2 linked regions of the Sus scrofa genome follow. The protein of the gene in region 2 purifies or fractionates together with the protein of the main gene of each other region. This does not show direct contact. Links are inferred from orthologs where the notes say so. Each region holds a gene or a part of one and is shown on either strand. Other genes may lie near its edges.

What was found. The genes of interacting proteins can lie anywhere in the genome.
Region 1: the proteins of CDK16 (region 2) and CCNYL1 purify together in Homo sapiens (affinity purification with mass spectrometry; 4 studies listed by BioGRID and IntAct, counting the BioPlex papers as one, with this or other methods). This does not show direct contact. The link is inferred for Sus scrofa from reciprocal best matches to the Homo sapiens genes CDK16 and CCNYL1.

The regions. Positions count from the first base shown.
Region 1 is NC_010457.5:110,872,447-110,876,784, reverse strand, and holds the start of CCNYL1 (cyclin-Y-like protein 1), read right to left. Parts: upstream 2,843-4,338; 5' UTR 2,453-2,842; coding exon 2,227-2,452; intron 1-2,226. UniProt on the Homo sapiens protein: Key regulator of Wnt signaling implicated in various biological processes including male fertility, embryonic neurogenesis and cortex development. Activates the cyclin-dependent kinase CDK16, and promotes sperm maturation.
Region 2 is NC_010461.5:41,841,775-41,845,319, reverse strand, and holds part of CDK16 (cyclin-dependent kinase 16), read right to left. Parts: exon of another isoform or gene 3,526-3,545; coding exon of another isoform or gene 3,484-3,525; coding exon 3,276-3,483; intron 2,665-3,275; coding exon 2,531-2,664; intron 2,430-2,530; coding exon 2,304-2,429; intron 2,205-2,303; coding exon 2,148-2,204; intron 2,042-2,147; coding exon 1,927-2,041; intron 1,270-1,926; coding exon 1,175-1,269; intron 1,077-1,174; coding exon 1,014-1,076; intron 763-1,013; coding exon 639-762; intron 457-638; coding exon 336-456; intron 226-335; coding exon 128-225; intron 39-127; coding exon 1-38. UniProt on the Homo sapiens protein: Protein kinase that plays a role in vesicle-mediated transport processes and exocytosis. Regulates GH1 release by brain neurons. Phosphorylates NSF, and thereby regulates NSF oligomerization. Required for normal spermatogenesis.

The DNA.
Region 1 (4,338 bases), on a different chromosome or scaffold from region 2:
GAGCCATGATGGGAACTCCAAAAAGGTAAATTCTTACCCATGAACTCTATTTTTCCAACTTTCCTGATTTAATACTCCTTATTATACACAGTCCTATGCTAAATGCTTAGTACCTTACCTGTCCTTTTCCGAGCTTCTCCTAATACCCTCCCTGTCCAGGGCATTCTCTGCTTCAATTCAAGGTCACCAGACAAAAACTCTTTAAAATATATCAACCCATTTACCTGACTGGTAAAATTTGGCTATTTATGACTTTTATTCTTACCCATTGTAATGAACATTGAGACACAGAATGGAGAGGTAAATGTGGCTTGTGAGTTGTGTACAATAAATGCAAGTGGAATTAAAACTAAAGTCGAGATGGGCCTTTCTTATGGCTAAATTATAAAACAGGTACACTCTAGTTTTTTAAGCACTCCAAGAACTGAATTTGGCTATCTACCACCTCCACATCTGTTTCCCCTGCTCAGTAGCTGTGTCACATAATGATTTTAGAGAAGTCTTGGTTTCTTCACCAGGAATACAGGGAGAATATACACAGGCCCTATTTGTGTGGAAGGGTCAAGTGAAATATACATGAAAATATGTTATGAGTCCTAAAAGAACTATATACAGCTCTAATTTCGGTCTCTCATTTTACAGTAATCAACCACTAACTGATTTGTAACATCACTCAGAGGCTTACCTTATAGCAACAAGCAGAGTAGAAGTTTCACAAGTACTTACATTCTTTGTGTTTAAAAGTTACATTTAATTCATATGATTTGTTCATTCTTTTACAATATCTGAACATTCTGAAAAGGGAGTACTTTCCACTTACAGAGCCATGTCCATTACATGGGTGAATCCACAGGCTTAACTACTCTGTTAAAGAAATTAAGTAAGCCCAACTAAAATTTAAATAGAAGAGCTATTAAGACGTTTCCTCTATGAAATAGCCTCTGGCAATAAGTGGGCTACTAGAGCTTCAACATCTTTATGATACAATGTTTTCTACTTCAAAGAACAGTCTTTATTAAAGAGCCACAGTGTTACTCAGAATTTCTTTTTAACCTAGAGCCATCCCTTTCCAAAATTCTAGGCAGAAATCTCTCCCTTCTCTCCTCCCTGGCAACCGCCCACCCCACCCCCAGAGTCCCTCCCCCCATAGTCATTTAGTCCTAAGAACTTTTACCTGAACATTCTTCCAGTTGAATAGGAATTCTACCGGCAGGAGGGGGGGGGGTGGGGGGGGGGAGAAGAAAGGGAGTCATGGAGACACTTTTCTGCAGAATCTGACATCTTAACTCCCAAATCTTCATATTACAAATTAAAATCTGAATTTGCTTTCTTCTGTTTTGAAACGTTTAACAGTCTGGTGAATCACCTCACCTCTTCTTTAAAACTGGCAACGTGTAAATGAAGTCGGTTAAGGCTGCGGGGCTGAAGACAGTTGTGTCCAAGTGGGAATTTGAAAGTAATCAGAACCCCGTGGGTTCGAATTTGGGTAAAAAAACTATTCTCTGCAGCCGTGGCAGTAACATTTCAAACGTTCGCACTTATTTGAAGCCCCCCGCCCCCAATCATTTTCTTTATTTTCGTGCTCAAATTACAGTTAGAAGGAAGAAAGCAGCTTCTATCAGGGCGACTGAAAACGTTAAAATTCAAATAATTTTACCGAAGAACGCCATATAGACTCTGTCGATCTCTATTTTGAACTTAAATAACAAATTCTGGAATGCGTCTAAATTGTATCAACTGCCTTAACTACCTTACCTGGTTCCTTCACTTAGGTACCATCTGGATAGGTAAGGATAAGGAGGTGGGATGGATACGCCATAGTTGGGTTATTTAAGTTTTCACTGAGAATACAGAGACTATACCAGAAAGTCTTTATAAAGTCCCACCAGGCGTTAATAAAGAGCCGCAAACAGGAAGGGTCGCAGACCGGAGGGTCTCAGACTGGGGTGGGAAATGGGAATGGGGGAAAGAACTGGGCTTTCGGGTAGATTAGAGGAAAAAAGACTGGCTGGACGCGACGGGAAAAGAATAAGGGGTGGGGACGCCAAGCAGAACCAGCCTTCATCCCCGGTGCCCAGCCCTGGGAAAGCCAGCTCCGGGCAGGAAGGAGCCCTAGGCGGCGGCTCCCTCCCGGGGGAACCCTGGGGGCGGCGGAGGCCAGAGGTAAGCCCGAGAACAGATGCAGCCGGCCCCGCGAGGGGCGAGGTGCGCCTACCACCGCCTTACCTTCGGGCATCTCCCGGTCGCTGATGTGCTGCAGGTGGTGGCCCTCGCCGGCTCCGTAATCCAACTCAGCTGGTTCCACGGCAGCCGGCGCGGAAGCTACTGCCACCGCGTCCCCAGCCGCCGCCTCACAGACTTCAGACTCGTAGTCTGGCTCCACCGGCCCCTTGCGCCTGCCCAGCTTGGGGCTGGCATTGGGCGACAAGCAACAGGACAACGTGTTCCCCATGGGGCGCCTCCGCTTCTGGCCGCCACCTCCTCGGCTCGCCCTGCGACTCCGCCGTTCTCAGCAACCGCCCCCTCCCCCAACAATGGCGAGGCCGGCACGGGCAGCCCCGGGCTATGCCGGGGCTGCGCCGCGCATGCAGACGCGGCCTCGGCCCCACTCGCCCGTCCGCCCCGCCGCCGGGCCCGGGGCAGGGCTCCGGCCCCGGCCGCACCCCCGCCGCCGCGCCGCTGCCGCCTCCCCGGAGCCAACTAGTCTGTGAGGGCGGTGACCAGACCGGCTTATTTAAAAGGGGTGGGGACCCGACAAACGCTGAGACGCGCAGCCACTGCCGGGAGAGAGCGCAGCCGGAGCTCCTCCTCCTTCCGCCGCCGCCTCCCGACTGAAAGCCTCGCCTGGCTGGCCCCTGCCAACCGGAACGCGTCCTTTGGTCACCTGGTTACGACGGACCAATCACATCTAGAGTTCCCTCCACGCGCCCGCCTCAAGCGTAGGCACGTGACTCATAATGCCCCGCCCCTGCCCATCGGCGCTCCGCCCCCCGCGAGGCGCGCCCTGAACTCTGGTTTCCATTCATCTCTCACGGCTCGGAGCTTTCCGGTCCTGCGGAAGCGTTGCGGGAGTTTGTTAACTGAAGCTGTCCTGGCTGAGCGGGCTCTATAAAATAGCCCCTTAAGTAAAGAGCCAGTTCGTTAGCAACTTGGTTTCGCTAGGTCTGACGGCTGGCTCATTTGATGTACTGCTCAACGAACTTAGTTACACCCGAATTGTTGACCGTTTTTGTAACTAAATGCTCCTCTGTTCTGCCTTCAGTTTGACCACAGCAACCCCCGGGGCCCTGGTCTTACCTTCAGTAAAAAGCTGTGGCAGTGTCTTGAATAAGACTCGAGGACACGTCACCCCTACACTTCCTCATCGGTAAAATAGGCACCGAACTCGTTCCTTCCACTTCTGAAACGCGGGGATTCAGCAACTCTTTCTCGCCAACGCATAAAGCACGTTTTTCTCATACAAAATTGAGAGTCACAAAGTGGAGTACCACGGTCTTGAATTGATGAAGGAGGTTAACGATAGCTAACATTTGGCGAACACTTAATACGCGCCCGACCCTTTCCAAGTGTGGTGCTCATTAACCCTTGAGAACAAAACCATCAGGAACACAGATTTTCCATAAATTAAATAACGCTCCCAAGGTCACCTAATTGCTCAGGGGTATGGCCAGGATTTGATCCCTGATAGTGTGGATCCCTAAAGGGGTGGGGACGCCAGGCAGAACCAGCCTTCATCCCTGGTGCCCAGCCCTGGGATTGTGATTATCAGGAAATAAAGACAGAAATCAAATTTGGTTGGAAGTGGCACAGCATATCAGGATTTTATTTTATTTTTAAGGAGGGACAGCTTTTTGATGTGGATTTTAAAATGCTTTCCCTTCATTCAGCATTAATTAGCGCTCCCTATGTGCCCGGCATTGTGTTTGGGGAAATAACCCTGCCCTCAGTGAGCTTAGACACCTGAGAAAAACAAAGGCTTTGAAAGTCCAATTGTCTGAGGCCACACTGCTGCAGAATACTTGAACCTGAAATTCAAACCTAGATCTGCCTAACCCCAAAGTAGATGCTGGGGTAAAGAGTTTGAATTGTTTCCCAGAAACATGAGAATCATTGAATGTTGTGAAGGTAAGATGTCCCTATCAGGTGGTTTGTAGTTAGGTCACTCTGGACAATAAGGAGGATTGAAGGACACAACAGGACCAATTGAGAGACTTTATATTCATCTAAAAGAAAAGAAAGGGTTCAGACTGAAAGCAGTGGCAGACTGGAGTGGAAGGAAAGGATATGAGGCCATTTGGGAGACAGAAGTGCTTGATGACTAGATACAGAGGAAGAGAG
Region 2 (3,545 bases):
GGACAGGATGCCCGGCCACGTCTCCTCAGTTGGGGTTCCTGGCGGGGAAGCAGAGTTAACCCTAAGCATCTCCCGGGGCCTCCCTGGATGTCCCCACAGCTCCTAGGGCTCATCCCCCACCCCTCACCTAAGATGCGGAAGATGAAGTGCAGCTGTTCCTCCACCGTGGAGCCCGGGAAGAGGGGCCGGCCCGTGGCCATCTCATAGAAGATACAGCCCACACCCCTGGGCAGGGAAGGCACAGTGAACAGGGAAGCAGTTGGCTGGCTGGCCGCTGTAACCAAGCCACCTCCCCTTCACTGCATGGCCCCTGGCACACTTCCACCTGTCCTCACCACATGTCAATCTGAGTGGAATAGTCCGTGGATCCGAGCAGGATGTCGGGGGGACGGTACCACAGGGTTACCACCTCATTGGAGTAGGTCTTCGTTGGAATTGACTTGGCCCGGGCCAGGCCTGGCAGATGGAGAGAAAAGGCAGCTGGAATGGAAGAGGTGCTGGCCGGTGTCGGGGAGAATGCAGTTGGGGCTGAGGGCATCCTAAGCAAAGCCTGGAGAGGCTGGAGGGGATCGAGACAAGGTGGCTGTGGGGGAGAGGGAGGCTGGGGTCACTGGGCAGAAAGGGGAGGCCAGGGGTACCGAAGTCGGCCAGCTTGAGCTCTCCTCTCTCGTTTATGAGCAGGTTCTGGGGCTTGAGGTCTCGGTGTAGCACCTTCTGCCGGTGGCAGTAGGCCAGGCCACGGAGCAGCTGGAACAGGAACAGCTGGGGACCCAGGAACGGCAGGCAGAGGTCAAAGAGTATCCAGCGGCCTGAGCCCCAGCAGGCACTGCTCCCCCTCCCAAACACAGGCACTGTGCCCGGAGCCTTGTCTCACAAAAGAGGACAGGGTCCCAATGCCCTCCAAGGGCTCCCAGCAAAAAGGCCAAACGGGAAGTCTGTTTCTGGGAGATTTGTGGGGTGGAATGGGTGAGTGGGGGGCCCCCTTGTGCCCCTGCTTCCTGCCCCACACCCACTTTCACGTTGTGCATGTTGATGACGTTCCCACAGTCATCCAGGTACTGCTTCAGGTCCTTGTCCTGAGGAGAGCAGAGCAGGTAGAGGAAAGAGGGTCACAGCCTGTGGCTCTGGGCCACCTCCCCACCTCCGTCTGGGCCACACTGCCACTCAACCTTACCAGGTACTCAAAGACAAGGGTGAGGGACTTCTCCGTGTGGATAATATCATGTAGCGTGACGATATTGGCATGTTTGAGGTCCTTGAGCAGGGACACTGCAGGGAGCATGGAGGCAGAATGGGAGAAGAGTCAGGACCCACCCTCAGGACAGAGGCGAGGAAGAGCCCGGGGTTTCCTGCTTTCCCCATGCGGTTTGGGGCGGTGGTTCACAGCCACCGGCTCCAACCAACCTGATACCAGGAAGAAGGTGTGTCCCCAAGTTCCAGAGGTGGACACTAAGGCTCAGACAAGAGCGCAGAGCAAGAACCTGGGATGGCAGCCCCAGGCTTATGTGATACTGGATTTTCACAACCCATTTTTGGTTTCTGGAAAGGGGCCTTGCTCCAACCCTTAGTACACAAGCCTGCAGCTTATGTGAACGTGAATTTGCATACTCAGTTTCTATGCAATTCTGATTCATTCCATGTGATATTCTAACTAGAAACGACTGTGTCAAGTAAACTGGTGAGTACTTTCAGGGATATTCTCAGAACTGAAGCAAGCACCCTGCTTTCCAATGCATCTGCCTCTTTTCCACATGGCAAGATTCCTGGTTTCCCTAATTTATTATTTGGATATGGGGGGTTGGGGTGACGGGCACTTTCTCATGAAGCCCAGAGTTTCAGGAGGGAAGTCCCGGCCAGAACCCCCAGTCCCCATCACGCCGTGGGGAGAGCCCGGGAAGCCTGGAGCAGATGGCCTGAGGCCTGTACCTTCCCGGATGGCGGTGCAAGGTGCCCCCTCTTCGTGTTCCAGTCTGATCTCCTTGAGTGCCACGAGGTTGTCTGTGAGCTTGCTTTTGCCTTTGTAGACAGTGGCATAGGTGCCCTGGGACGTGAGGAAGAGTGACAGGAGAGGAGCTGTGAGGCTGCGGGACTTCTCACTGACCCCCTCACCTCCCCGCCCTACCAGAGGCCTGCTGGCTGTCTCTCACCTCTCCCAGCTTGTCCAGCTTGATGTAAGTCTCCAGTTTCCCAAAGCCGATCTCAGACTGGGGTAAAGGAGGCAGGTTGAAGTAGGCTCGGGGGAAGGGACTGGGGAGAAGAGGAGGAGGAGGAGGAGGAGACACGAAAAGGAGACAGATGCTCACCAGGCTGACACGCCGGAGGCGGCGGCTGAGCGGCTTGTCGAAGATGGGGCTATTGAGGGTCAGCTTCTCAAGGTAGCCCTCGGGCAGCCGGATGTCGGCTGGTAGTGACAGGCGCTTGTTGATGTCCTAGCAGGAAAGATAGGGGAGAAAGAGGACCATGAGCTCCAACTCCCCAGGCCTAACCCTCTTTTCCAGCCCCACTACTGCCCGGACAGGGGGTTAAGCACCTCGGTGGAGATCTTGCGTGGGGGATGGTTGCGCATGCGCACCCTCACTGGTGACTGCACCTCATCCGAGGACGTGGCTGAAGCCTGGTCACTTTCCCCGTCAGACCCCATCTTCAAGTCCTCGTGTACAATCTCTGGTCGTGGGGACAGGTGGAGGGCAGGCCAAGTGGGGTCAGGAGCCCCAGGACCACCCCCCCACCCCTGCCATGTAACACCTTCCCTCATCACACATGTGTGCGCACGGCCCCCAGAGCAGCCTGGCGTCCCTCAGGGAGAGGGTGGGAAGGCCCAGGGAGGTTCACGCAGGTCAAGACTGGTTGAATGGGGGTGGGTGGGGTGGGCAATAGTCACCTAGTGGAGCACCCCGTTTCAGCGGCGAGCTGAGACTGCGGCTGGCCCACGGCCAGTGGGCAGGCAGCAGCAGAGGCAGCCAAAGGCCCCAGGAAGGCAGGCCCAAGGCAGGCAGGCGCCAGGAGGCCTGAGGGGACTGTCACAGAGCTCAGGAGAAGGGCAGAGGGAGGCATGGGGCAGCTGTGGCAGGCAGGGCACCCTTCCTTCCTCCCCCTTAGGCCTGGGCACAAGGCCAAGGAAAGGGGCACGGATGGACAATAGAGAAAGGGTGCTGAGAGGATGGGGGAGAAAACGGTGAAAGGAAAATGAAAGTAACGCAGGTCTAAGAGGAACTTGGCTAGAAGGCAGCACAGCTGGGGACCAGTCTGGGAACAGGGACAGTCAGTGGACCTACCTGGTGCAGAGCTGAGTGGGCCCCGTCCAGAGCGAGGTTCCCCAGGAGCGGTACGTGTGGGGGCCTCTCCAAGGTCACTGCCACCACCACCGCCACTCTCATCAAGGCCTATCTGTTCTGGGGCACCATTGGTCTTGTCTACACTTCGGCCCCCTCGGAGTGTCATTGACAGCTGCCGTTTGATCTTCTTCATCCGATCCATGGCGACCTGAGCAGGGGGAATGGATGGGAATGGGTTCCACATTAGCATTTTCCTGACCCCCACGAGCG